4 linked regions of the Drosophila melanogaster genome follow. The protein of the gene in region 3 interacts with the protein of the main gene of each other region in a pairwise test. Each region holds a gene or a part of one and is shown on either strand. Other genes may lie near its edges.

Region 1 (6,861 bases), about 25 Mb from region 3:
GCATTACTGGGCGGGAATCACCCCATGACACCTGTAAGACCAACCACCAATCGGCTGTCGAAAAGAACCTAATACCCTCTTCCGATGTCCCATAAAACGCGACTAAGCCGGCGCGAGCTCAAGGCCTCCTCTGGGGCACATTTCCCAGCTTGTCCACTCCAAGGTAACTCTGCTAATAGCCACTAATCTCTGTTGAAACTCACACTAGTTTCGGCCCATATAGCCACTTCCACACTTCCACATGTGCGTGTGCTCATCTCGCGGCGCATAAACCGCAAATGAGCGATTACAGGCTCTCGAGATTGGCCGGAATGGAGCTGGCCCTCGGCCAAGACAATGGTCGGAACTGGGAGTGGCGGTATGGGGAGGGGGCACCATTTCGGAGCTGCTCGACAGCTCAATCGGCGCCGCTTGGCGGGGTCTTCAACGCCATCGCCTTTGGCGTCGGCGTCTTCATCTTCAATGTCAAAATCCTCGAGTGAGAAGTCAGTGCTTTGTTGACAGATTTATTGCGAGTAAAGTAACCGCGCTGGCGCGAAAAATGTTCATTAAAACGAGCAGCGCAAATGCGTCGTATCCGAGTACAATTGCCTTTTGTTTTGGACATATTAGTCAGTAATTTGGGCAGGTCTGATCACTCATATTTTCGCCATGTCAAGGCAAAGCCCGATCTCAATGCTACTCGCTGGATCGGCCTTTTCCGCCCTATTGCCTGTTTGCTTCCGGGACAACTTGAATTTCGCCTAATTAATTCATTCCGAATTATTTGCATGCAACGCGACTGCAATTCCACGCGGAAATAATTACCATGTGAAAAGCTGTTGACTCTACTAAGGTAGCTACGGAAAGCCTGAAATCAATCGATTTCAATCAATTCTAGCATTAAGTTCCCAACCTGTTTGCTAAGTGTAACGAGGTGTAAGCACATTCTAAACATTTTCTATTGATCTTGCTTGAATTGCATTTACACGAAGTGTGTTAACTAACTTGTTTCTATTAAACCATATTGGCTGATATTTATTTCCCACAATTTGGCCAAACAAACAATGCTTTCAGCATTTTATAAAAACAAGAGTAATCACTTTCATCGAGTTCCTGACTATCAGATACCTATTACCCAGCTAAAGGAAGTCCAGATGAACTTGGCTAGTTCGACTGCCTAGTCTTTGTTCGAATACACATACATATGTACATATATACGGAGGATTGCGAAGGATACATTTTTAAATTGTCTTCGGCTACCTTAGAAATTATCAAAACATAATAGAATTCCGGAAACAAAAAGAAAATAAAGCGTCGAAGATATGCTTTCTATCAAATACATTTCAAGTTCAGGTCTACCCTACAAGTATTGTGTATAATAATTAATTAGGAATTTATAAGGAATGTACCCTAGTCTCGAAAACCATAAGGAATACTTAACCATGGTATTGGACTTATATTTCTGAAACGGAAGTTTCTTATAACGATCAATTTGTGGTGTTCTTCTAAATGTTAGTCTTATTGGGCATATTGCAGCTCCTTTTCGTTTTGCTGTTCGCGCTTCGGCTCACTAATTAAGTCAATTTACTGACAAGCTATTTAACTAATTTCCCGGGGTTTCAAAGACTGCTGTTGTAAACTCTAGTTAGAGTAGAGTAAGTCTAGTTACGCTAGTTACTCCAGTTTGTCGAATCAAATCGGGGAAGTTGAAACTCAAAGCAGAACTAAGGTAATGCAAACCGAAGTGCAAGCTAGGTGATGTCTCAACTTGTTTTAGTGTCATGAACAAGTTGTGAGTATCTTCTGTCTAAAGTGCGGAGATGTGGCTGATAGTGTTGTTGCTTCTGGAATATTTTTAATGCCGTACACGTCGCAGACATAGGCGGACGAAATTCTGTTAATTGTTTTCATTAGTCACTGCAAAACGCTGTCTTCCAATTGACATTATAAGTAGGTACGTGTGCTTATCCCAAGTAAAGTCCCCTAACATCGCTGTGGATGGCAGTTTACGTAGTGACGATGAGAACCGAGAGTCTGATCAGAGCCATTTATGTATATCGTGATCGAATAATCTTTTGATGATTTAAATCTCTTGTTGAATGATGATTAGCTAGGAAGAAGGGGGAGCAATTCTAGTTATAATTCTTGTATTTATAAAACAAGATTTGAATGACATTTTCCAAAATGTGTTTGTCTGCAAAATTTGTTAAAAAAAAGTTTAACTAATTGCCATTTTAGGACTTGAGAAGTGTCATCGTCACTTTAATCCCACATATTTGGAGGTGTTTTTTATAAAGTTTATATACAAAATGTTCGTATTGTACAAACTGGATTGCTACCAGATTAAGATACGAAATCTTGCTTTAATCCAGGAATTGTACGGGTATTGTTATTGGCGCTTAACTGTAATGTAGTAATTGTTTAAAATATTCGAAAACTGCCCAAGACATTTTGGTATTCAAGCGGCGGCCTATCTATCGGTTAGTGGCTTTTATGGTCGGTAGAAGTATATATATGCATATATATGCATATGCATATATATATATATATAATGGGAGTCAGACAAAAGTGTATGCCCTTCTATTTTGTATTTATCAATACATTTAAACCGTTTGTAATGCATTCAATAGCAAACATAATAGCAAACAATAGTATACATATAAAGGTATACTTTCACGTAAATGTAAACGTTTACGGCTCTTTTCCTAACACTTGGCTTCCGCAAATCGCAGTTGTTAGCACGCCCCATTGCGCTATTCGATGTGGAAGCGAGATCCTCTTCTAGACAAACAAACTTTTGTGTTTAAATTATTTATAAGTAGAGAGTAAGCGGTGTGAGCCAGAGCTGCGGCCACGCCGGCGAGCGTTGAGCGATTTAATGTTTGGGTAAGTTTTGGCTGAGGCTTCTTGAGGCTTCTTGAGAGTCGGGCCTCAGATCTCGGATCTGCGATCTCAGGGGATTGGCGTGTAGCCTGTAAATTCGCTGGAAACGCGGCTACGTGCGTGGCATTTGAAGAACGGTGAGCGCGAAAAAAACCCAAATGGTTTGCATATGTAAATACGGAAAGCGAAATCCCAGCTTACTGTTTGAAAGTATTTGCCACCTTAGTGGCATCCGCCGAGGAGCGCCTGAGTGGCTCCAGTCCGGGTAAGAACAATGAGCAAGCCCTTCTGGGCGGTTCAATTTATGATGTCCAATTACAGCCAACGCGGAAGCGATCGTCGATCTGGAGCCATTCACTACCATTATCCCATTATCGATCAGTAAGTCACAAGACCTCGAAAGTCGGTCCCAGAAGCGGTTTTCGTTCGACCACCTCGCCTGACTGGGAAACACTCAAGGAAACTTTTTGCCACGATCAGGATGCCCTGCGACAAGTCCAAGGCCAAAATCGGGTCATTGCAGATCCGGTTTTGTGCGAATCGTTTCCGCACTTGTTTCGAGTTGCCTTGGATTACCATTTTGTATATTTTTAGTGCAAGAAAAACTCTGGCAATTATTCGCGAAGGGCGCACTAATTGCGCTTCTGCTACTTTGGACCCAATGTCAACGGTGAAAAGCTTTACGATGCTGGCTAATTCTTATGCATTATCTCGAGGGGTCAGCAAAACAAAACCTATCGGTATATTGGGAGTCAACAGTCCAGAAACCAGAACAGCTGCTCAAACAGCATACAAATCCGCCCAGCTGTTCGTGGTCTGCCGCTGCGCTGCCAGTCAGGCCAGGGCTAAATCCCGCCGGAATCCCGCCTGCGACCACACGTCGAGGATTCTCCAGAGGTCCTCAGCATCGGATCCTCGCTGGGAATCAAATGCCCCACGCAAGCTGATTTTGTGCAACCGCCAAATGGCAGGGTTGCCACACCATTGGAAACACCGGATCGAACAGCCCGATTGGCCAGTCAAATCGATTAGCTCGGACGATCTGCGCCTTATAGCCGGGCAGATTGGCCAGAGCGGGGAGGTGTTTTGGCGTGGAGAGCGCCGTCCAAAATGCTTATTGTGAACGGACCAAGCGCCGCGCAGTTGCAAAAGAGCGAAAAACAAAAATCACATGTGCGAACAACTTACAGCTTACCACTTGCAAACAGCTCGAAATCCGCAACGGAAGGCGGCCAGCAGCAGCTCGGTTGGTAAATCGCTGGCAACCGAAATCTGAAAACTAAAAACTGCAAAAACCACAACACACAAATTGCGCGGCCCGAACTATTTCACAAAGTGTTGCCAAAGAACTTTGTAAAATGATTACTTTCGCAATAGCTTTTGGCTCTTGGCTTTCGGCTTTCGCACACGGGATCGGTGACTGCGTCTGCGATTAGCGCGCGCTTGACTTCTGAATGAAAACTGAGCCGCGATCGCGCCGCGCGGCTAATTAAACGCGGATCGCGCGACGCCGACGAAGCGGAGGCGCAGGCGCAACCGCGAGCGCCAGCGCAGGGAAGAACGCCACTGGCAGCGCAGCGGCTGCGGTGGAAACGTTACGGTCAGCGGCAAGCACCGACCGAGTGCAGTGCGAAAACTTTCCGCCGCCGAGCGTCAAGTGCAGTGCACGAAGATGGCAAATGGCCTGATTGGCTCTTGGCTATTCCCGGACACCGGGAATGATGCGACTCGATTCAGATCCGGAGATCCCGAACCCAAGACCCAAATCTGAACCCGAACCTTGTTTTTTTTTGTCTGATGTCAGCGGCGCAGGCAAGGTTCAAGTGTGGCTACCGTCGCAATAGCAATCGCACACTGCCAGCGAGTAAATATTACATGGAGTGAACTTCCGAACAGCCCCGATACCTGGCCTTTCACAGCGTTAAATCATCCATGTTAATTACGAGGCGTACGATTCCTGCCCGTGTAGGTGATCTGGCTTATAATCATGGATACGCACAGATATACGGCCTTATTCGAAACTTTGGGCCAACCGTATGACCAACAATTAAGAATTGCTTGGAACATGATGAAAGAGTTTTCGCAAAATATGGGGTGACTTAAGATTTATTGTCTAATTATCCTACAATTATATGTTCCAAATCGATAGTATTTAAGAAAATAGGGGTTTTATTTTTATAGCGGTCGTTACTCGCAGCTTTTGCCTGAATTAATAGTTTTTTTCCAACAGTTTTTTTAATTCTCCAAAGTTCATTCCTTGTAAACGAAATTCGGATACTTGGTAGTAATAATACAATTGATAATTGGTCAGGGTTCAGTGTTTGGTCACAACGCATCAAAGGGCGCGTGCCAAAGTGAGCTGGGAAATAGTTATTATTATCTAACGCTAACACTAGCCTGAAGTGCCGATAGTCTCCGTCGCAGCTCCAGCTCCAAATACGCCGGTGCATTATGATGCATTAAGTTATGTCAACTTGGCTAACATCGCGCCCTGTCCGGCTGATGCGGCAAGAGTCGAGAGCCGACAAGGTCAAGAGGGGCTTAAATATTAGCCTGTACAGCCCAGCTGTCGCCGCCTGTTAGCGGATTTGTTTGCCAAAAATTAGTACGCGTCTATTAAGTACTGGCCCATTTGTACATTAAGTCAGTGGCAATCTGTATTGTTATTTGATTTTTTCGATTGTTTGGTACGTTTCTGCACTTTTGCACAGCCGAGCGTTCAACGATCATCGTAAAAAAAAAAACAAGAGAGATCTTGACGTTTATACGGTCTATTGGTCCTGATGAAGTAATATGTTCTTTATCGAGTCAGAAAAGAACATAAACTGCCTACCTATAGTCTACCCTTTGACTCTACGGGTAATGGGTATTACATTTTAATCTGTTGTTTGAGACAAAACAATTGTGAAAAGCAAATAATCATTTGCAAACGCGTTTTTAATGACATGTAGCACAAATTATGGGCTTAGGTAAAGTATTTCAAAAAATGCTTTTTAAGGGACGAACAAGACGCCCAAAAGGTTCCAATTTAATTTTAACATATGTTTGGTAGTGGGGCTCAGCCAAATTTTTTTTTACTTTTCTCAAAGTCTTGGTATGTAATCGCTTGATCTTTTACGCTAAGATCGGACTACCATAACCGCTTTAAATTTCTTTCTTTTCAACGAATCTACATATATACCCTTTAATTCTGAAAATGACGTCATAGTACTGCAGACGCAAATAAGCTACAGGTGCAAGGCTAACTTCCTTTCTCGTTGCGGTTTAAGTTATAAACGTCGCAAGGAGTTCTTAAATTAAAGTTAAAACTTAGCAACGACGTAGTTCAAAGGACTTTTCTTGTGGAGGGAGACACTAAATATATCCTATAATATAGTGTTATTGGTTTAATAAATATAATATAGTTTTATTTGGAATATTCATGTAATTCATAAAATATTTATGATTTGGTTCACTACTTGGTCGTATAAAGTGGGAAATGTGAAATTTGATTCATGCTCAGCGTAATTCCTAATGCGATTATTTCAAGAGTTCTTTTTTATTAAAAGTTCAAAAGGCACATCAGGTGTTAGGCCTGGTGTATGCAATATTAATTCGGTAGAATTTGTAAATTAATATGTGACTTGTAAATAAAATATTACACTTGACCCATTCTCGGAAATTTTGTTAAGTAAGCAACAGGCATCTGATAGTAAAGGCATTATTTTAAAGCCTTTATTATTTCTAGATTTTCGTGGCTGGCAAGATGCCTTGTATTTCTCTGAAACAATGTCCAATCTCATTAGGGGATAGGCCACATGGGTCAATTGCCACACCCTCAGAGGCTCTAAAGCCTCTAATTATCAGTTATAAGTGGGAATACACTTAATGTGTTCGTTTATTAACAATTACACTGTACACTGGCCCCAGGGATTCAATCCCGTCATGAAAGTTATACACACGTACAAAATATGCGTTAATACAATTGAAATATTTTCTTGAACAGTTTTAATATAA
Region 2 (9,717 bases), about 14 Mb from region 3:
ACGCCATGGAGGAGTTATTCCGCACATTCAGCGAATCGGCTACGTTCCAGTGGCTGCGCAGCTTCCGTCGCCTGCGTGTTAACTATGACAATGCCATTGCGGCGGCAAATGCGCGAATCAAGCTGCACCAGTACGAGTTTAACAAGAAGACGGTTATCACCTGCTACTTTGCCCAGCCGGTGACACCGGTCAGCAACAAGAACCTGCAGCCACCGGCGCCGGTCAAACAGTTCCTCATCTCCCCGCCCGCTTCGCCGCCAGCCGGCTGGGAGCCGCGCGAGGAAGGCGAGCCACTGGTCAACCATGATCTTTTGGCCGCGTTGGCTAGCCTCACACCCGGCGAGTCGCACGAGCTGCATCCTCAGAGCGAGGACCAGCCGGCCATTATTGTGCACACGGCCATGCTGGCGGAGACCGGGCCGGGACTGCAGGTGAAGGCGCCAATTGTCCAGACCAAGTGCCCGGAACGGGCATAATCATAAGGTGGTGACGAAACTAAAGCTGAAAACCTGAGTTGTAAAACCAAACGATCGGGACAACGGGTTGGGACTCATGCTCTGCGGATGGTTGGGGCTTCGATTGAGTATTTTTTGTAAATATTTTCCGATTCAATTGTGATTAATTTACACATACATATATTTAGCTACGTTCGTATGTTTGTATTAATAGGCACTCGAACTCCCATACCCGACATACTTTCCCACCCTTCCTTCAAGCGTAGCATTTACCCCAGTTGGCTTCTGATACAAGTTCATTGGCTAACAACCGCATCTAGATGTGTTTATCTCGCGATTTGAGTGTGTCTATGTGTAAGAATATTGATGTTAAGCCATCGCAAATACCTGCTAACAATATCTACATATATCTCTGTGTACCTTCGACGGGAAATCGCTGACAGAGGCGCTACCGAGAACCGCGATCCGAAATCCCAGATATAAAGCTACTATATCTATGTAAATGTTAATGTAATTCTAAGCCAGCGAAATCGTGTAACGATATCGCATCAGATATCGGCATACACATACATACGTTTATAAATCTATATGCCTACGTGTAGTTAAAATTTAAATTGAAAATATATTCAAATTCGAAATGAATGTTCTCAAATGTACCAAACAAAACAAAATGAAGAATTACCAAACAAGAAACAAAAACCGAAAAACCAAAACTCTCTCTTTAAACAAACTTTAATTGGCGGGTTAAACATCATGTGGAGCAAAGGGAAGCGATGGGTTATGGATTTGACATTGGAAATCCCTGTCGGCAATTGGCAATTCGATAGTGCAATTGAGTGGAAATTACTGAAACTTTGCAAGGCCAGACGAACCCGAATTGGCTGTGTCGGTCGGAGAATAAACTTTAATTGGAAATAGTTGGGAAATAATTTTTTGGTGTGTACTGGTTTTACCGTAGAGAAAATTGAAATTCAAGCTATGAATCTGCGCCTAAATTGATAGAGCCTAAAAGTAGACAACACTAATCAGTAAAAATGCTCGTCAAGCATTTAAATTTCCTTTAAACTAAATTTTACCACCGAAAAAATTAAAAGAAAAAATCCGTACAAACAACAAAGGGACACTCAGAAATGAGTGAATCCACAAATTAGGATTCCCCATATTCTGCACATCGTTTTATTCGCTTGGAATGAATAGAAACTATTAAATCTTACTACTAGGCAGAAGAGTAGAATTCTTAACAAGAAAACACAGGGTAACAAGGAATTTAAGCTGGATTTTGGACTTGGGAAACAATCGTCTTTGGCTAGGTTCTACTTGCTCTCGATGTTCTTGAGCGGCACCATTTGCTCCGGATCGTCGGGATATACGCTATTCTGGCGCTTTTTGCGACCAGCACACTGACTGAACCAAGTATCTCCCTTTCCGAAGTTCTCTCCATCCTCAATGGACTCGGGCATGGGCTGGTTCATTGTCTCCGGCAGGAACATAACCCAGAAGCCCGAGATCAGGGCCACCACGCCGAACAGCACGGCCGGTATCTTCGGATCAAATGAGTCCAGCAATGTAATGAGCGGAGTAAGGGCTCCCGACAAACGGGCACACATCGATCCCAATCCCATGGCCGAGTTCCGCACCACGGTGGGAAACAGTTCGGCTGAGTAATTGTAGATTACGGCAAAGGAACCGGCGATGAGGAGCTTTCCTGCCATTACCACCGCCGTGGAGGTGGTGCTGCCCTGGGCAATGTAGGCGGCCACAATGCAGCATAGACCGCCACCCAACATCAGGGTGGAGGTGATCGATCGACGACCCAGGCGATCTAGGACGAACACAATGGTTATGTAGCTGGGGAACTCCACGAGGCCCATGATGAACAGGATCAGGTAGGGATTTCCATACAGCTTGCCGGCACTGAGCGATAGTCCGTAATAAACCAGAGAATTGGCGAACCAGCAGAGGCACACGTTCAAAGTCTTCATCCTCAAGTTGGGCGTGCGGAAGAGGTCGCTCAATCCGGCGCTGGATTTTTCTTCGGCCGCCGCCTGCTGTTTGGCTTTCTGCACATAGTACTCCTTGTCCACCGGGATGCCCGATCCGTTGATTCTCAGGCCCTTGGCCACAATATCCACCGCCTCGGCGGCACGTCCCTGCATCCACAGCCAGCGCGGAGATTCATCGAGCCACCACCAGTGGCCCAGGAACAGACAGCCATGCAGTCCGTAGATCACTTGGAGCCACTGGCGGTCAGGGATGAGTGCTCCCCATCCGGCCACCAACATGATGCCACCAGCGAAAACAGCCTAAAAGTATTGCATGGTATAGCCAGTTTAAAAAATGCAAAATCTATTGAAGTCTTCCTCACCTGGAAGGTAATGCCGCACACAGTACGCTTGGTAGGTCCCACCAGTTCCATGGTCAGCACGAACCCACAGATGTAGGCACCCGCTGATCCCACAATGCCCAGCAGGTAGCGAGCCACCATGAATGAGAAGTACTCGGGAATGAAGGCCACACCCACACCGATGATCAATTGGAACAGGGCCGACCAGCAGAACACGGTTTTCCGACCCACTTTGTCGGCGAGTCCGCCAAGGGTGACTGCGCCTGTGAACACGCCCAGCATGAACACGGTCTGCACAATGGCTCCCATCCAGCGGCGATCGCACACAAAGTTCCAGTCGATGGTGCGCGAAGTCTTGTAGTACGTCGTGTCGTATACGTAACGTTCGCAATTGATGGTGGTATTGGTGCCAGGACTACTGGGATCGAACATGAGGCAGGACTCTAGCTCGCCATTGGGCTTCAGCGGAATGGCGGCCAGGATAGCGCTCGAGTTCCATGGTGTCACCGACAAGCTGCTGTTATCCACGCCCTCGATGAAGCAGCGATGCTCAGGCACGGCGGCCACCGTGACCAGCGATAGCATGTGCATGCCAGCGGTCAGGCCGGAGAGCACCTGCAGGAAGAACTGCAGGAACTGGTACTTTCCAAACTCCCCTGCAATTGGATAGAAAAAAATAGAAAGACATTTCACAATCATTAATGTCTTGGGAAAGGTTATGAGCGCACAACAAATGTGAGCTTTCAGCAACATGATAGATAGTGATAATCTGTAGCACCCATGAATCACCCAGTTTACGATTAAATATAATAAAAAGAAAGTAAGTTGAGCTGAAAACGGAAGTTGTTCTAGCTCAAATTATTTAAAACGGTTTTTTATTTCAGTATTTGAATTTGAACATCACGTAGCTGCGATAAAAACACAACCCAAAGAAACAGCCGACTTTTATGTAGATGGGAACTTTTAATGGGTATCGCTGGAATTGTCGTCACTCCAAAGGCTTTGCAATTAAATCAAGTGGAATTTATTCAATTCGATTTCAATTGAAGCGCATTCGCCTAGCCCGTCAAATATTTGCCCACAGTTTGGTTTGGTTTGGTTTTGGTTTCGAACGCCATGAAAAGAGACTCGGATGTCTTGGGAGAATGCACTGAATCGATTATGACTTGGCTGGTCAGTCAGTCCATGGCGATCGCGTTGATGGGAGGCCAGGGGCTGTGTAAATTTCTAACGACATGGACAGTATGTAGCCTAGATACGAGAATTTGACACTTGATCACGGTCCAATGTTCAATCAGCCGTTTCAATTGATTTGTGGGTTACGTTTATTGATCGTTTAAACGAAACTCTTGCCATCAAATGAAAAGTTACGTTCACCCCGGTTACGTTGCAATCGACAAATCATGAGTAAAACGTCTGAGAATTTTCATTTTTCATTATTAAAACGATTGCGTGAAGTGTAAAATTATGTCATCGGGTTGACTTAATTAATCTCAATTATAAAATTTGACTCTACGCCTAATGAAATTCAATTACGCCCCCAATAGACATAATCAGCGTATAATTGAGCACAATCTAGGAAATCGATTGGCCAAATTTGTGATAACTAAACTCGTAATAGTAAATACTAATGTGGAACTCATAGCGGATTATCAGAGGCCACCAAATGCTAGATCATATATCAGTGATATTGTTGCTTCAGATTTATTGCATCCGTCCAATATAACTAGCCGTATAATTGTTGCCAAGTGGCCCTTGAATACGACATTTGTTTTTGGCCCTGTCAATGTTTGTTGTTCTCTTAATCGTAAGCCATCTATTATGATGTACAAAACCAACAGTTTGCACATTAAAATGAATATGGCGCAGGTTTGGACCGTTGTTTATTCTGGGCAAACTTTTTGAGCGATAAGTGAGATGGATAAGAACACGGAATATTAAAAAATAATGCAGTCATATTTCTAACAATATTGCACATGTATATTAATCTACTGTTATTCTACTATCAACTGTTGCTTTATTTCAGAGTTGATTTCTTCAAAGCTTTTAAAATTTCCTTTGTGCTTAAGTATCATGATTCGAATAATTGAGGTAGATCATGGTTTTACACCTCCACTTTAAGGCTTCCTTCGGTTTTTGTTCATCCGTACTTCAACATTTTCACTTCCCGCGTTTACTAACAACTGAAGGTCGATTTAGTTCTGTTCTGTGCTCTCCACATAGCACGTGTGGAAGTGCTCTCAAAGTCATTTTAAGTTGCTGGTTTTATGGTAACCTTCTTACGTACAAATAACAACCAACTCAGCAATGCAACACGCCTCCAAATTCGAAGTAATTAGAGTTGCTGCTCGCCAATAGGCCTTCAACAAAGTAAACAGAAATAAAAGAGCGATATGTGAATTTTGATGGCTGAGGGAGGTATTGCCATATAGTTGAATGTGAGCAAACCAGTTTAAGGTTTTTTGCATTTCACAGATACAAATGTATGCGAATATATTACGAATAAAAAAGTCGCTAATGCGATTATTACTCCCTCTCTCCTGTCACTTTCTTATAGGCTGCGGTTTTGCGAATGCTTAATACAAAACCAGTTTCGGATTGTAAAAAACTGTTCTATTTTAATTAACGACAATTTCAGCACAATCGTTGACACAAATTTTATATTCCAACTCATATTTTATGTGACTCATAAATTTCTAATTTGTAGCCGTGACAAATAAAACTGTTTATCCATCGATCTTCCACTGTATTCCCACAATTAATCTTAACTATTTTGCATACTGCATATAAACACGCTTAATTTTGTAGCTTCCACAAGCTAGCTGCAATGTTTGAACCGCACAATTAGAGTATATAATAAATTATAAGCAAATACCCAGATATCCGTAGATCCCAAGATCTTTATGACGAGCCTACTTCACAGTCTTGTGACAGATACCGCCCCTTTTGCACCCGTTTTATTTTTGTTTGCCTGTTAGCCGCCACACTCGTTTTAGCGTCACTGTGCTAAAGCCAAGTAGGCTCAACAAGTGTCAGACAGCCTCCAGCTCAGAACTTGGCCCACACGAACATGTGTCGACTATATGTGTACATAAATACATACTTGGTATGGTATATAGTCAAAAGGGGAGCAACAGGTCGGAGTCTCTATCAAGCTGTCATAAATGTCTGTCACTTGGTGGCCTCGACGATTTATTAAATTAAGAATAGTGCAAAATGAAAATGAAAATAGTTGCAATTAAAAAAGTATTATAGTCGGCTTCTTTTGAGCACTTGACGTGACGGACAGCCAGCCGGATAGATTAGGCGGAGATTAAAAGCATAATACGGAAAAATTAATTATAGATTTTAAAAGCAGAACAGAAGGTTGGGCGGTAAACCTCATTGGTCGTCGTGAAACAAAATATTATCCATAGTAGCTTGCAACGCTGATAAGACCTCTCAAAATGATAAGCATAACGCCAGGCTCTTATCAGCACGGGATGGAGACGCCTGGCAACGTAACAGCTGACCTTTCAAAAGTCTTCGCTCCCAAAAGCCCATTCCACTCACCAAGTTTCCCCATCAGGTCCTCCAGTACATAATCCACAGCCATGTTTGATTTTTTATTGATAATCAAAAATAAATGAAAGTAACTGTTTGCTATTGCTTCTTAACAAATCGTCATCTTCTGCAGAAGTGGAGCATGTATGAATGGCACACCAGTGCAGCACTGCTGATAGTTACGGGTCGCGAAGATGCAAAACGAATCCGGGATAAACAACGTGCTCGAGTGAAACAAAATCGCAAACGGAGCGCTCGATCAGCTATCAACTCTTCCGACCGCCGGCAGCATTTGAACTGGCAAAAACTAACTGCGAACTGTGTCGCTCAGCGAGAAAACTGAGTGGTAAATGGCGATAAGGTCGCTCCAAGCTCGCGAGCGAAGAGAGCTTGTGGAGGTCTCCAAAGTTGGGAACTAAAGAGCAAACTCTGCTCGAGGGTAAGAGCTTCAAAAACTGTAATCACCATTATAATCCTTGATGTATGAAAATAAATGATGCCTCTTGGCAAGGATCCCTTAGATTAGAATACGATCAGAAAACTCATACCTTAGCAAGCTTTGATTTGCCTAACACTCAGTGACAAACAAAACATAAGTCACAAAAACACATACAAAAAATACATAAAATTCATTTAAAGTTAATTTTAAAATTATGTGTGAGCCAAACTTATCAGATCCGTCGACATTCCTGTACTTGGATATGCTGGCGGATATTTTAATGCAGGACAGCCTTGAAATGGAATCAGATTTCAATACCAAGTTAAAATTTCTTAAGGAACAGGAACAAATTTGCCTAGACAATGCCAAAAATGTGAGACTCAATGGCCATAGGCAAACAGGATATAAATTTTTCATACTCCAACAGGCACTTCCCATCGATGATACCCTGAGATCAGTAAAGTGCACCATGCTTAGGGTAGAAATGGAGCTGCATGAAAACGAGATTAACCTTATACAGGCGGAGAAAGCAGTTACGAAATTGGAGCAGAGCTATCCGAGTCCTGAGAGTCTGGCAGGCCAAGTGTTTCCTTTGGCAAGTACCACATATCAGGATTTGCTGAGTATGCTGATGTCTTCGAAAAAAACAGTCGATCATTGCAATCAGATCAAAGAGGAGGTCGCGACGTATAATGAGCAGATATCCGCAAAAGTACCTTCCGTAAATTTGGTATGAAATGATGACTAAAAGTTGTATTTAGAGTTTCTAAAGTGAGTGTATCAACAGGTAACCAAGCTTATCGATTACCACAATAATACACTGGAGTCTATGGAAAAAAATATCGAAAAATTGAAGAGCCAGGTCACACAAGTTCAAAAGGAGTTCGAGCAGCTTTATAACGAACATGCACGCCAATTCAACGCACCGTTCCCATGCAAAAAGGTCAAGGAGTTAAAACCAAAAGACACATGTGGAGTACGACTACGCATGTAATCTGATAACACAATATATCCAACGAATATTATAAATGCTTACAATGCTGCAAGTTCAACTTTTCGCTTAAGATTAGGTTTGGTGATCTGGGCTTAAATTTTAGTTGTTGGCATCACGGAAAAACAACACATCGTCGGCTATGATACTGGTGCTAGTCTTCTGGTTGCCCTGCTGGTCGGTGATCTCTCCATAGGTGATCTTTCCCTGCACCATGGTTCGCTGTCCCTTCTTCAAGTATTCCAGCACGGTGTCACGCAGATTGGGCTTGAACACCACTACACGATGCCAGTCGGTGCGTTGGGCCCAGTCGCCGTTCTCATATCTGTGGGGAAATATTTAAGACTTCATGAATGCTTTTTAAATGAAATGGTAGCTATTTTCTTTATGAAATCCGGCATTTCATGGATCCTAAGAAGAAATTGATCACTGAAGTTAATTGAACAAGGAAATGTACACTATTGCCGTTATCATTAGGTAATTACATACAGCAAATGTTCTAATAACTCATTACATAAATCTGAATTAGCAGCTCAACGTGATATTTTCTTGGAGGTTAAGGCTAAGAACTAACTTAATTGTCAACATTTATGTAGCTTTTTTATTTCCCTCCTCTGAGATGTGATTTCAAGTTCAGTTGCAGACGCATGCTGGGCGGCAAAACGCACACAAATGCACTTACTTGTAGTTGGTGTGTGTAGCAACCGAAAAGGTGACCACCGGATGCTCCTGGGATCCACGCAGCTGCGGATCGGCGCCAACTCGTCCCAAAATGGTCACCGTGTTGACAGCTGTGGTTATTTATTCAAAATTAATTCAATTTCATAACTAAACCTAAGAAATACTCACTTTTTTCAACTTTGGCGGGAGCCGCTGCCGTTGTTGTTGTTGCCCCGCGTGCCGGCAAATTTCGCAGGCCGGTCAACAGAGGATTCAGCTAAAAAAAATAACATGTTTGTTCATTGTATTTTGCAATTTACCGGCTTTTTAATAATATTACTTACCATGCGCCTTGTGTGTTGCATCTTGATTGTATTAATAAAATATCGATGTATCGATGATATTTACGATATGTAAACTTTTATCGCGATAGTTTTTAATACGAAATATCGCATATCAACATTATTTCTTATTTTATATATTGACTTGAAATGCTACTCGCAAGTATATAAAAAAAATGTTTTTTTATTATTATTTATTAATTTTGGTGTATAAATCCGCTTTTGGAGATTGAATTCGCCACACGGAGTGAATTCGCCGCATATTGTCCCTTGCGGAATACAAAAGAAACTATCTAGTTCAATCATAGGCCAAAAGAGGACGTTAGCGGTCAGCTGTGTATAGTTCAAAATAACAGCCAAAGGTGGCGATGATACTACATTGTATAGTTGCTTATTTCAACCAAAAGGTGGACGCACACTAAGCACAACTGATAGTAGGCAATTTCCATTAGTTCACCATCTCAATAAGCAAATGCTGAGGGCGCCACTGTGACCTCTTTGATTAAATACTTAATAAATTAAGTACTTATTTCATTTAAAATAAGCTAAGGGTTAAGAAAAAGAAGAAATATCAATGATTTCATATCAATGTAAGTTGAATAAGCTGGACATGTAGTGTTTTCGGTACAATTATAATGTTTAGAAAAATAAACTTTATTTAAATTTGTATGCACGCAAATTGTTTACATTTTTCATAATATAAGAAATTTTACTTTAGTTCCCCAACCCCTTAATTTGTTTTTTATTCAAGAATATACTATCAAAAAAATAGTATACAGTGTGCATCTAAACATTCACTCAATAACGCAAATATAATGCACAAAGATTTCAACTTTACAACCTCGAACAGGATGCAAGAAAGACAGCTTAAGCTCGCTCCAACCACGAGTAGTCATCATCTTGGCTTTTTTGAAAATTAGTTACCGGCTGGCGGCTTTGTTTGA
Region 3 (5,128 bases):
GGCATATTTTTAGTCGAATTGCCATTTTTACAAAATTTTAAGCAAACAATGCGGAATCAGGACGATCTAAGTCAGGGCGCCAAACAGAGATTTGTGGAGACGGCTGCCAGGGCCAAGAATCCCCTCGAATCTCTGAGCTACCAAAGCTACAAAGCCCCCAGCGGAGAGGAATTCAAACTCATCTGCCGAGCGAAGTCGGATGCGGACTCCAAACTGCTGAAATGGGCCTTTAAGCTGGCCGAGACGAACGTGGGACCCTATTACAAGCAACTCAAGATGGGCTGGCAGCCCAAGATCAAAGCCGCCGAGCTGAACAAGAACTGGGCTCGCTACTTGGTGGCCCAGAACGAAAAGAAGGAGAACGTGGCCTACGCAATGTTCCGCTTCGACATGGATCACGGGGACTGTGTCCTGTATTGGTGGGTATTCCATAAGTAAAGCCCTTATGCATTAATTACGTAGAACTTCCTTTCAGTTACGAAATGCAAGTGGCTGCAGAGTATCGTAGAAAAGGCCTGGGAAAGTTCATCATGAGCACTTTGGAGGACTGCGCTCGCCTGTGGCATCTGGAAAAGGTCATGCTGACCGTTCTCAACAACAACGAAGCCTCCATTTCCTTCTTCAAGCAACTGGGCTACGTCAAGGACGAGATCTCGCCAGATGTCCTGGAACAAGCCGACTACCAAATCTTTAGCAAATCGATGCTAAGCTGAGTATTTATTGGACACCGAAGATTATAGATATTTAGCAACTAGTATAACAATGCGTTTATTTCAACAAATTGGCCGTGGTCTCCAAGTGCGTGGCCATGCGAATGTCCTGCGAACTGAGACCGCCCACGTCGTGCGTGGACAGGGTCACGTCCACCTTGTTGTAGCAGTTGAACCACTCGGGATGGTGGTTGATCTTCTCGGCCAGCAATGCCACGCCCGTCATGAAGCTGAAGGCCTGGTTGAAGTCCTTCAGCACGAACTGCTTGAAGATGGCGTCGCGCCCCTCCACCAAAGTCCAGCCGGCGTCCAGGAGGGGCTGCAGCTTCTCGGCGCGTTCCTGTTCGTTTAGTCGTACCTAAAGGGCAGCGAGCAACAAGTATGTGAGTGTTATTGATTCATACGATATATATACAAAATAATTTGTGAGCGAAAAACCTCCATTTCTGGCCAAAATCACAGTGATTCTATTTGTTAGGGCATAAAGCACTTTCCGAAAGTCCAAACCTGTCCTTGGGTGGTCGATTGATTTCAGTTGGAGGCGATAAGGGAACCACTCGATTTCGCTGAGACTCCGTTCACCTTGATCTCAAACTCACTTTCGGCTCGTACTTACCACCATTTTGCGCTTTTTCGCTGTGATTGCGGTTGCTGTTGCTTCTGTGGTTGGGGTGTTGTGGATTCTCCGGAGATTCGCACTGCCACCAGTTGCTGCCCGTGCTGCTTCTCTCGCTGCTGGCGAATACAGAACTGAGATTTGCGACAGGCTGCGCGAAAAATAAAGCTCAGATTTAAGTTTGGTATTTTTGCCCCTCCCTCCCCTTCCGCACATTCCACCTTTTGAATACCTTCTACTCGTTGCTGTTGTTGCAGTTGTGGGGAATAAACCAGCTCTGCGGCTGCTGGCAAGCAGATTGGCCACTTTCTGGCAGTTCGGCTTAATCACATTCTGAGCGCATTTAATTGTTAACAACATTTTCGATCCAAAACTCGTTTGTTCTTAGCTGCTGTTTTTGTTGCTGTTGCTGTCGGCGCGGAACAGCTGACTTGTGTCGTATGTTAGCTAACATTGAGTTAACATGGAGCTGTAAAAACTGCCAACTTGTTTTGACAACGTCTGCTAGCAACATAACTGTTATAAAGTCTAATGCCGCGTAATTTGAATTTAGATTTCTTATTGGATTTCTTATTGATTTCTAGAGATTTGACATACAGTTTATTTATTAAATGGCCTTCTCTTACATTGTTATGACATTAAAGTCGCTCTGATTATATCAAGTGTTAATATATAGTCATATGGCTGGAATATGACTATTACTTGTGCACCACATTCTCCGTCTCCCCATTTCCGTAATAGTCGTAATCCGAACTGGCGGTGGAAGTGGCCAGCTTGGGATGGTCGGTGGTGGTGACCGTGTTAACGGTTGATCCACTGGATCCAGTGACCACTTCAGGCGCCACAGTGGTTGTCTTCCTCCAACGCAAGCTATAGCGACTGCGAATGAACGGCGGCTTGGTCACCAAAACCGAGTCACCAATCGCTGCATATTGGATATTGTTATTCATTGGGTATCCAAAGACCAAAGTTGTAGCTCACCCATTCCGATGAGGCAACAGCAGAGGATCAGGAGCAGGGCCAGCTTCATTCTGAGTTCCCCTTTCGATGTTAACTGTAACTTTTCCCGGCAACTCGACTGCCTTTATAGTCCCATCAGAGCTGAGATAAACGGCTCCCAATTCCCCGACGAAAGCGAAATCGTCCCCTGGTTTCCCTGGGGAACTGGGGAACATCCATCCAAGTTCAATCACCGCCAGTGCGATTTTATGTTTTTTATTCGTTATCTCTGAATGAACTCTTACTTTAGCTTACGGGTTAAGGCGACATTGTACAATCGAATCGATATTATGCCTAAGCGAAATGGTAATAAATACGTGTGTGGAATTTTGGTCAGCCCGCAATCAGTTGTCCGTTTCCGGTTTGCGTTCCGCTTCCGGTTCCGGTTCCGGTTCCGCGGGCCGTGGACGCTTGGGTCCGGAGGGTATTGGCGGAGGTGGAACATCCGGCACCGCGCTGTTTTTGCTCTCCGAACCGTTGCGAATGTCCTCGAAACTGGGCTGCGCCGGCTCCAGATTCTCCAGGGGAAGTGGCTGTGGCGAAGGTGGACTCTGGACGGGATTCAGTGGCTGTTCCTGCTCCGCGCGCGGCAAAGTGGCTGCCCGCAGGGGATAACCCTGGCTGGGATAGTAGTCGTACGGCGGCAAGTAGTTCTGCCTTATGAAGCCCGCTTGGTCATAGATCACTGGATACTGGCTGTAAGGATACGGTGGCAGGTGCATGGGTTGGCCTCTGAACTGGGAGGGCAGTGGTATCAGCACGGGCGGCAATCCCTGCTGATTCAACGGCACTGGCATCTGCTCCTTGGGCATCTCCTGGCGCTCCACGGTTCCGGGTGGCGACGCCGACTGCGGCTGCTGCTCCACTGGCGCCTCCACCGGTTGTTGGGGTTCATATGGAGCATAGCCAGCGGGATACTGGGCGGCAGATGGCAGAGGGTAAGGGAGCTGTAATATTAAGGTTTCAATAGTTTAAACTACTATATTTCTTTTTTGAGTGCGGTTCATTGCTCTAGTCAGAGATTTCTAGAGTGAGCTTTTTATGATACCTATTATTAAATTAATCATTGTCTTATTATAGCTAGCAGTAATTTAATCTTGCGAAATATTTCGCTAAGTTTATCAGTGTTAGCAACTTAATGAAACCCATAAGCTCACCCTCTCATTTGGCGTCAATCCCGGGACAATCGGTTGGCCGAATCTCACAATCGGCGGACTGTAGAATCCGTAGGGATTGTAGGGTCCAAAGGGGGCGTAGCCCGGCTCGTGAATGGTGGGCTGGATGACCGGATAGGCGCGGCTGGAGGTCAGGTTGTCGTCGGTGGTGATGAGAGCGTTGTAGACCTTGGGCTTCTTCCTCAGGCGACGGGCGGCCAGCGAGGAATCGGTCCACAGAACAAGTCCCAGTAGCAGTAGGAGAATCAAAATGGTGTGCTGCCGAGAATAGAAATCGAAATCGAAGTCGGCGTTTATATATTGTGCATATAGAAGTAGATACAAGTGACCATTGACAGCTGTCCCTGGGTTTGTCACTACTGCTGCTGGATGGCGATCAATGAAAACCATAATCTGTCTAATTGATCGCCATATCGACAATCAATCAATGAATTGTTTGGACTACGCACAATGTGTGCTTGTGCTGGACGGAAGTTGTGCAGCTGGAACTCTGGGTGCTCTACAGGGAAGCTTGTTAGTAATGGCTTTAAAAAGCCAGGTATTACGTGTCTGTATGGACTATATGGAGTCAGAAGAAACCCACGACTTTCAAATACCAGCACTGCAGTCGTCGAAACAATCAACACATGTCAGCCTTTGTTGCGAATTCTCTACACTTCATTAGTTTTGAATTGAAATGTAGATTGTTCCTTTAATTGGATTACGGAGTAGCCGATCGAACCGGACGGCGCTGCTACCTCTTACACTGAGCGAAAAAAGTCTATTCAGAACGTGTACATCGTTCACTTGAAAAGGTTAAGGCATACTTCATTTCTACATTCCATCTTCTATTGAGAACCAATTCTTTTGCCAGTGCATGGGTTCAAGTGGAGCTATGGCAAAGGCATTTCCTCGGAGAGATGGAGTCTAGGTCCGGTTAGACGAGTTGCCCATGGAGGAGGTTTGATGGTAATGGCACTGCAGCTGGTACTGGAGCATGGAAATGCACTGGGGCGATCTGCGGAACTGTGACCGCGTTTCTGATCTCGATCCCCCGATCTCCGGATCCCCGGGGGCGGCACTCTAATTGCCGCTATTGGATTACCCAGACATCCAAGTCGGGTGTGGCTGGGCCGCCCTCCTCCTTGGATCGCCTATTGCTATTGTTGTTTGTGAGTTTGTGGTCCAAGAGACTGACTGACTGACTAAGTGACTGACTGGCAATTTGGTTTGCTTTCCAAGCATTTCACTTTGACTTTCCTCCACATCTCACCCACTCCCACTCCCAATGGCCGTGATCTTTTCACTCGCTTCGAGGGAGCAATTTTCGACGCTTTTCCTTTTCCTTTTATTTTCTAGTTTCTAGTTTCGATTTCGTTTTCGTTTTCGATCTCGTGGGCATCTGGCAGCAGTGAAATTAAATGGATTCGGCTCGAATCAGCAGACAATAATCGGTGATCAAGTGCACTCCAAGCCACGAAATTGGGCCACCTCGAGTGCCATTGTAATGCGCGTTAAAAGTGATAGTTCCAAATGGTTCAATGGCTCGGAGTCGCCTCTTGGCCATGGGTGTTTCCATAGGCTCAGTGGCGTGCCGATAAATCCAGGTGGGTGGTCACTCGGCGGTCACTCAGTGGAGGAGGGAGAAT
Region 4 (8,549 bases), on a different chromosome or scaffold from region 3:
CCACGGGATCGGAGCAGTTCCAGAGCCGGTGCTGGGACATTTGGATGCGAAATCAGCACTTTAAAAGCCCTGGTCGCACGAGACATTTCGGGGGAAAATATAGCACTTAATATCAACTAGTAGCGGCGAATTGCAGGGCTGAACTAAGTGGAAATTTTCGAAATGACAATTCAAGCTTTTTCTGTGCCCCGCTCTTAGGCTTAAAAGGTTCTCTTAAGCTTTTACATTTTAATTTGCTCTCATCTCTTGAAATTCACATTACTATTTCCTGCGCGTTCCTATACAATTTTTAGGGATAGTATTAAAGTATTACAGTAAAAAGAAAAGTTTACAATTATAAAATTGATTATTTATATATAGCTTTATATAATTAAAGTCATTATTTATTTACGTTTCTATGAGCGATTTTCATACATATTTCGTAGTAATCAGTCAAACTATACCATTAGATTAGATTTCCACATTAATTAATCAATTTGCATCAGGAAAATGTTTTTTTACTCTATTTCACATTTACTGGGATGCGGCTAAACCCATTTAAATGTAATAGTAGGTGGGCAACTAGGTACATGGGATCCCCAGCCAAGCCACGAATCACATTATAGGTAGTAATGGTGCCACAATATGCGGCAGGACAACTGAAAGTTATGCAAAAATAACGATCTTTAAATAAATCAACTAAAAAGGTGACATTAAAGATCAACATTTACGCAGAAACATGATAAAACTAAACAGCAAAAACGTTAACCTACTCATTTGTAACCTTCAAGAAACCTTAATGAAATCTTGCCAAAATACTTTTAGACACTGTCTGTCAACCACTAAAGAGATAAGACAAAAATCTTTATACTGATAAGGGGCCAGAAGTACGAGTATTTGTTAGGTGGGGGCCCTAAAAGCAACTAGGACTGATATCAATAGCCTACAGGAACTATAAAAAGCTGTAATCTTTAGATTAGGCATACAGATTACGTCTACGCTGCAAAAGATTGTTTCAAATCGTTGCCACGCCCACAACTGTTACATACATATTTTTGAAAAATTAAAAATGCTTTATGTCCTGAGATCGAGTTGTTCGAAAGGACAGACATATACTTGTATGCAATGAAAACGTTTTCTTCTTCCCGTTACTTATTTTTGAAAGAAGTATACCGTTTACTTTTGGAGTAACAGGTATACTGATTAATCGTTCAATTTAATATACTACTACATCCTTTACTGTACAACATGGTGTACATCCTCTTGGATCACTTGTGGAAACGACGACTCGAACCCACTGCCAAATCGACCACGTCGTTGTTGACAGGGGACTTTGCACCTCTTGACTTCCGGCACATCGGCGTAGTCAGCTGGGGGCAGTATTCATTTAGAGCCACTGCCTTATGGGGCTACTGTCCTGCTCAGTCGCCGGTCTGCTTTCTTGCTGGTTGCAGCAGTTGCAGTTGCAGTTCTCTTTCTGCAGATAAATGCCCACATAGTAATCCCTGGGATTCGCCCCCAGCACCTTGAAACCAACGGGCCATGCCCAGGGGCCTTCAATTATTATATTCGATCAGCAAAGCCATAATCAGTGGGAGCAGGTTGAAAAACTACAACCGAAGTCGGGTTTCGCGAGCGAACTCTCAAGCGGCATAAGCACCCAGTTTTAAGAAGCGATGATCCTATTCCGATCCTGATCCGACAAGCTCCCGCAGCCGTTCCTGGGACTTTTGGATGCGAAATCAGCAGTTTGAAGGTCCTCGATACATTTTGGGGAAAAGTGGTAGGTTTTGCAATTGTGCAGAGCTAAACTTTGCGAATTACTAAATCAATGTTTTCTGCTCTCATTTCTTAAAACGTACAATATTATTTCCTACGATATACTATATTAGTATTTAAATTATGTTTCTCATTCTCTAGCACCAATTATTCTATTGCTTTACCTATTCCATATTAATCAGTTGAGCTAATCTTACGGTATAGATTAGATTCCCACATATTTAATTTAATAAATTTGCAACAGCAAATACTTGTTTTTTAATTGTTTTTTTTATTTTCACATCTACTGGCATGCCAAGGTCATCGGCGGCCTTTCGCACTTTGTTTGGCGGACATTCCAAACTGGTTAGCGGTAGAAAGCCATATTTCCCATTTGAATTTACTAGTAGGCGGGCGACAACATGGGCTCCCCAGCCAAACCGCGGAGCACATTATGGGCAGCAATGGTGGACATGTCGGCACGGGTGCGCTTCGTGGCGGATCCAATATGGGGCAGGACAACTAAAAGAACACATCAAGTGGTTAGTTCAAGATACGATTACACAAACCAAGATAACAATGTTTTAATAAATCAACAAAAGAAGGGAATTATAGAGGTCAACAAGGACGCAGAAATTAGATAAAACATGGAAAGAATAAACGTTACCCTATTTATTTGTAACCTTCAAGAAACCTTAAAGATTCCATTAATTTCAAAATACTTTTAGTCATTGTCAACCACTGAAGAGATAAGTCAAAATCTTTATATTGATAAGGGGCCAGAAATACGAGTATTTGCTAGGTGTGGGCCTGAGGACTGATATCAATAAACTACAACATTATTTTCATTTTCCCACTCACCAACATTGTCAAGCGTCAGCAGCTTGTCCTTGGGCGACAATGGTTCCGGATCCGTGACGTCGAGTCCGGCGGAAAAGATTCGGTTGGCTTTCAAAGCCTCGTAGAGGTCATCCTGGTTGACGATTTCTGAGGAATAAAATAAATAGTTAAAATCGGTCGAGAATCCCAATTAATACTGGTAACTTACTGCCCCTGGCAATGTTAACCAGCACAGCAGTCTGCTTCATCTTGTTGAAGGCGGTGGCATTAAAGACGCCCTGTGTGTCCTTCGTCAAAGGAGAAGCGATCACTACGAAGTCACTCTCGGCCAGAAGGGTATCGAAGTCAACTTTCTTGGCATTGAACTCCTCCTCGATCTCCTTGTGAACACGACGACGGGTGGTGTACAGCACCTTGTCAATGTCGAATCCAGACAAACGCTTGGCAATAGCCTGACCAATGCCTCCAAAGCCGTAGAATCCCACGGTGGAATCACGAATATCCTGGCCCAACAGCCAGTTAAGATGGTAGTTTTCCCACTTGTCACTTTTAGAACGCAAAAGATACAAATTAAGAAATTGAAAGATATATGAATATTTCCAAAATATATAATATACTTGTAGATACTCGAGATACTGATAAATGCCTGTTACTAAGCTAAGATGAAGATAAAAAAAACTTTTTTTTATTGCACCGCCACCTAGCGGCGGTTACATAAACTGCTCGTACCTTTTGTTTGTAGATAAATCGAAAGTCAATACTTTAGAATTTTACATTATGCATGTGAGGAGCCAAAACCTATTGATGATAATGCTTTGTCCACTTGTGAGCGCTATAGAGCAAAAGTGCAAGCGACAGACGAGCGGACAGGCGGTATTCTTAAGAACCGGCTTGCAATTTTAATCGAGAATTCATGCGTATACATTTCACGGCCACACTAAGTTGAAAATAAAGTGTCCCTAGTTTAGCTTAATTATAATAATAATTATGACAATTATAATTTCGGTTTACTCTATTTTTGTCATTGCTCAAATTAATTCTGTAAGTATATGAATCATCACAAACACAACTAACCAACTAGTGGTACTCACTTGTCGATGGTCTTGCGACCCTCGTGAAAACGGCGACTGGCGGCGATCAGGAGACCCACTGCCAAATCGGCCACGGCGGTGTTGAGAACGGTGGGCGTGTGTCCCAGCGGGATCTTACGTCTCTTTACCTCCGGCACATCGACGTAGTCGATTCCCGCCGACATGGTGGAGATGGATTTCAGCTGGGGACCGGCAGCATCGAGGGCCTCGGCATTGAGGGGTTCGTGTCCACCCCAGAGAACGCCATCCACGCCACGGATTTTCTCCAGCAGCTCCGCCCGGTTGATGGGAACACTCTGCACCTGGACGATCTCGCAGTTCTCCTTCAGCAGATCAATGCCCTCCTGGGGAACCTCGGGATGTGTCACCAGGACCTTGAAAGCCTTGCCAGCGGACATGGTGCGATTCTGGCTTTGATTTCTGCTGCCCCTGCGTGGGAGGGAGGCATTACTACCGGCGATCAGCAAGGCCACAATCAGTGGCAGCAGGGAGTTGGTGGCAATCGATCTCATCTCGAAGTATTGCGATCGAAGTCGTGTTTCGCGAGCGACTGAACTCTCAAGCGGCATACGCACCCAGCTTTAAGGAGCGGCGAGAACGGAAAGCCGCTGATCCGACTGCTCCGACCCACGATCGCAGCCGATAAACCAATGAACCTGTTTAGCATTATAATCCGCGCTCTAAATCTCTCCCTATATATGTATGTACGTATGTATGTATGTCTGTAGGCGTTCAAGCCGCCGAGCAGCTGATGTGAGTCTCAGTCTCTCCTACGGCGTATGTATAAGACGCACAACTGGTTTGCTGGTTCGAGAACTAAGGTATAATATTGGAGTTTTATCGAAGTGGATTCAATAATCAGGAACGGTGCAAGATTATTTCTGGGTTAATAACAATAACATTTGGCAAAAATAAACATTCTAAAATTAAGTTTAATTTTACTTAACATGTGGAGCGTAATGAAAAAATTACGAAACATAGATGAATTTATCAAAGACTAAGAGCCAATTATTTTGGCTAAAAAACAGAGACAATTATTTCAGTGGAAATACGATTATATACTGCGGTCAATAATTTCGAGTAGCTAAAATACATCTATCTCCCATGTTTTTTAAAGTACTTAAATTTCGCGGTTATACGGTCGCTATCTCCGCACAGACGCACGAGATTTTTATGGCGAAATTCCGCGAGCAAAAACTTTCAGATATGTTCGCATCTAATCATTTTTCCACGACTCATTCCACTCAACACTTTTGACAATTTGATGGTTTTTTAGCATTGTTTGTTTGTTTGTGGGAGGGAATGGAAAAACCCACAGTAATATTTTGATATTAATTACACTCAATGTCACCAAAGAACAAACCGTCACTCTTAAAAACTCTCTTAACCAAACTGTTTACGACACCAAATGTCACAAGAGAACTACTTTATTATATTATTATTAATTTGTTCTTTACACTATGCTACACTCTGCCTCCAAACGCACCCGACGTGAAAATTTAACTAAAACTTTTTTCCATTGGCTATGCAATAAAAGCTCGCAATCCGATTTCATTTTTATGTTCTCTTATTTAGACTTTATACTTTCTCTTACCGTGAGATCTATAGAACTAGAATACTTTTCAGCTTTGCGTTTGCCGCACGACTGAAGTATTGGCCCCAAAGCTTAAGCCTTATATAGAACTCATATCGTATCGCAAATGAATTATCAATTCCCAAAAAAGAGTTAATACGAGAGTAATTTTCAACATATTAATTCGGTTTACATTTTATGGAATGGTGCACAGATATTTTTGAAGTCAATTGTATAAATTCGTTAAAATAAAATAACATATATGAAATATTTAAAACAATATGCGATCTAACAAACTTTTATTATCGTAAAAATACACCCCTTAAAGGCCGGAAACTCACTAAAATCTCAGTTAAAAATGTAGTTCACTCTTTAACATAATATTGGGGTTATATCAACCAGATTCCAGTACTATCAGCGATCAGCGATTCCCCCTCCGATTAGACCATCATTGGGCATCCCTTTCTGTCGTTGCACACTGCGCTTTGCCGCTACCATCAGTCCGTCCCTTTCCAGCTGCTTATCTCGAAAGGCTCCTTATCGGTGCGAACGAGACAGAGACGGAACTCTTTGGGAGAGTGAGCAGTTGGGAAAGCTGTGCGCCTGCTCGAAATACCAGTTGGGGACTTTTCCCATGTGCTCGCATGCAATTTCCAACTGGAATGGGCACCACCGCAGTTGGAGCCACCGGAGCAGTGGAGCCATTTGGCCATTTAGCCGTGGTGCCATGGAGCCAAAGCACTGCAGTCGGTTGGAACGTGGAACCTACACGACCAGCACTATTTCGCAGTTAAGTACGTTTTTTTGTGAGCGGATCTGCTCAAATTTTGTCCGCAGAACAGCAGGCGCACAGCGTTGGCCAACGCACACTGCGCTTTTTCGTCTGTGTGAAAGCGGCGGCAAGAACCGTTCGCGTTGGCGTTAGCGTCGCTGGCAGTGATGCGCGAATTAACTAGCTAGAACTTCCGACAAAAGGCACAGAAACTTAAAACAAAATACTAAATTACTTTACGTCTACGTGTAAGGAGTAATCAAATATTTTACTGGTTAGAACTGAATATATTCATAGACATGATAATACATATACATATTTATAAGATATTCCAAATGTTAAAAACAATAAAATTATTGATATTGTTACTATACGAAAATTGACTAATCTAAATTTTACTGATTTACGATTTAAGTATAGAACTATTTTAACATAGTTTTAACCATAATACCGCTCTAGTGAAATATCGAAACGGACAGTTTGGCTTTTTGTTTGCCTAGATTGGCTTCACTGAAAGTTGTGCACTTCCTCTTACCTTTGAGATTTGGCCCAGACACTGCACTCTGCCTAATTGAAAGCGAAACGAAAAACCAACAAAATATTAGCGCTTTGTGCGAGGGTGGATTTTTTTGTTGTCGTGACGCGGCGCAGCGTCTGTGCCTGCTTTTTCTTCGTCCCCCACAACGGTTTACACATTTTCTTCGTGCCTTGTTCTTTTGTTTCGCGGCCATTGTGCAGCAGAGTGCCGCACATTGGTGCTCTTCTCGCTTTTATGCTTTCCTGTTACCAAAACACGATGCGTCATTTTGACTGACGTAACCGGAGACAACATTCCAATTGGAGACAGCTGTCTATCAGACGCGACCGTCGTCGTCGTTACGTCTGCTGCCGCCGGCATTGCCAGCGCTAAACTGCGGTTTGGTGAACAAGTAATCAGCAACTGATGACAGCAGACAGACGCCAACGAGAGTGTGTGCGGCGGACAGAGAAGAGAAAATGCGGAGAGATAGAGATAGTGGAGGCGGACAGTGAAAGACGGGGTATAACGGAAAAAATGGAATTTGAGAAGCGCATCTCTCGATCTCTCCACTGAACATATGAAAATACAATGTACATATGTACATATGTATGTAAATAATATTTATAAGTTGGGATATTAGAAAGCCTAACACTAGGTCTTCGTTTTAGGCTAATAAATTACTACAGTTTCGATATAATCGGAAACTGAAAATGAAAACGTTTACTTAGTTCAGTTCCCAACTAAGAACAAAGTGGGCATACTTTTAGGCACTTCTAAGCACTATTCCTGATAATGCTTAATGCAATAAAAGTTAATGTGTCACCAAAAATACACATTGTAGTACTTGTTCACATTTCTTAAAAAGTAATTTACAAACATTTTAACTTAGAACTTAGAACCTTGCTAATTGCATTCACAAGGTAAGATTGGGATTGCCTTCGCACAGCACTCAGCGGGTTAAAGTCAACTGTCAAGGGCAAGTTGCAGACACCTAAGCAGCATCCACAAACATATCCGTACTGCTTGCGCCGCATTCTGCTTGCTTCATATTTGGCGACACCAGCAGCGGGAATCGCAAATGGCGGCCGAGCGACAAAGCTGCAAAGCGAGGCGTCGCGCACTCCGCGCAGGCGCTTTTGGAGCGCCCAACTCCACTCAACGGCCTGTCGAGAAGGCCAAGATGAAAAAAAAGTGGGACGTGCCGGGCCACAAAAAAAGTGGCCAACCGTCACCGATTTTTATGGTGTAGGCTCCCTAAAATTGACGCGCAACATTGAGGCAGGTCCCTCTACGCGATATAACGGAACAGGCGCCCAGAGTCGCCAGCAGCGAGATAACCCGACGGAAGACAAAAAGCGAGAGCGAGCTGTGTCTGTGTGTCTGCGCGTGTGGTGGTGGGCCCCAAGTCGATGGCGGTGCCTACACACGGCACAGCTCTATGAATATAACGAGCACGAGAGCGGGAGCGGGAGTGAGCTCCACCACGAGCTCTAGAAGAGAGAGAGACAAGTAGAGTTGGTGAGCGTGGGAGTTGATGTGCACTTGCATATGTGCAAGTACAGTGCGTCCTCTGTAACAGTAAGCACTAAACTGAAAAGAGACTAGCAAACTAGTAAAGTACCACTGTAGTCATTCCCCAGATTTCAGTTGCTCATGGAAGTGTGTACTTGTGTATATACATATATACCAACATACTTAGGTAGCTAATCCAGCTCTGTTGGCTTTGTAATGATGTTAACATTGACTGACGTCAGGCACGGGTCTTAATTTACATGTCTCTGCTGCTTGGTTTTTGTGTTGCAGCAGTCCCCGTTGCTTACCACACATGATAATTATGGGAATGCAAGTGTTTTGTTTTCGCTGCACTTGCTTGCGGTTAAGAATTGGGAACACGTCCAGGGTCACTGCAGAGGGGTGGGGGGGGGTGGGGTGTTAAATTGACCCATGCTCGCGGCATATGTACATACATATGTATGTTTCTTAAGCTCAAACAAAAAACCTGTTTTTGCGTTGGGC

The links.
Region 1: the proteins of CG34296 (region 3) and CG31522 interact in a two-hybrid assay, tested with the Drosophila melanogaster proteins (one large-scale study listed by BioGRID).
Region 2: the proteins of CG34296 (region 3) and CG6126 interact in a two-hybrid assay, tested with the Drosophila melanogaster proteins (one large-scale study listed by BioGRID).
Region 4: the proteins of CG34296 (region 3) and CG9331 interact in a two-hybrid assay, tested with the Drosophila melanogaster proteins (one large-scale study listed by BioGRID).

Annotation. Positions count from the first base shown.
Region 1 is NT_033777.3:4,458,567-4,465,427, forward strand, and holds the start of CG31522 (uncharacterized protein), read right to left. Parts: upstream 4,318-6,861; 5' UTR 4,061-4,317; exon of another isoform or gene 4,054-4,060; intron 1-4,053.
Region 2 is NT_033777.3:16,196,440-16,206,156, forward strand, and holds CG6126 (uncharacterized protein), read right to left. Parts: upstream 6,645-9,717; 5' UTR 6,395-6,644; coding exon 6,352-6,394; intron 3,456-6,351; coding exon 2,821-3,455; intron 2,759-2,820; coding exon 1,769-2,758; 3' UTR 1,561-1,768; downstream 1-1,560. Other genes in the region: sra (sarah), read left to right, coding at 1-476; CG31287 (uncharacterized protein), read left to right, coding at 6,996-7,154, 7,209-7,511, 7,569-7,775; mtSSB (mitochondrial single stranded DNA-binding protein), read right to left, coding at 7,875-8,097, 8,455-8,563, 8,622-8,709, 8,777-8,797.
Region 3 is NT_033777.3:29,719,787-29,724,914, reverse strand, and holds CG34296 (uncharacterized protein), read right to left. Parts: upstream 2,378-5,128; 5' UTR 2,357-2,377; coding exon 2,308-2,356; intron 2,252-2,307; coding exon 2,025-2,251; 3' UTR 1,902-2,024; downstream 1-1,901. Other genes in the region: Naa40 (N(alpha)-acetyltransferase 40), read left to right, coding at 49-419, 476-713; Pcd (pterin-4a-carbinolamine dehydratase), read right to left, coding at 769-1,068, 1,327-1,477, 1,559-1,686; CG15506 (uncharacterized protein), read right to left, coding at 2,670-3,272, 3,483-3,758.
Region 4 is NT_033779.5:20,821,207-20,829,755, reverse strand, and holds CG9331 (uncharacterized protein), read right to left. Parts: upstream 6,115-8,549; 5' UTR 5,641-6,114; intron 5,323-5,640; exon of another isoform or gene 5,032-5,322; intron 4,485-5,031; 5' UTR 4,336-4,484; coding exon 4,244-4,335; exon of another isoform or gene 4,181-4,243; coding exon of another isoform or gene 4,089-4,180; coding exon 3,669-4,088; intron 3,124-3,668; coding exon 2,786-3,123; intron 2,725-2,785; coding exon 2,599-2,724; intron 2,260-2,598; coding exon 2,141-2,259; 3' UTR 2,032-2,140; downstream 1-2,031. Other genes in the region: CG31673 (uncharacterized protein), read right to left, coding at 1-86.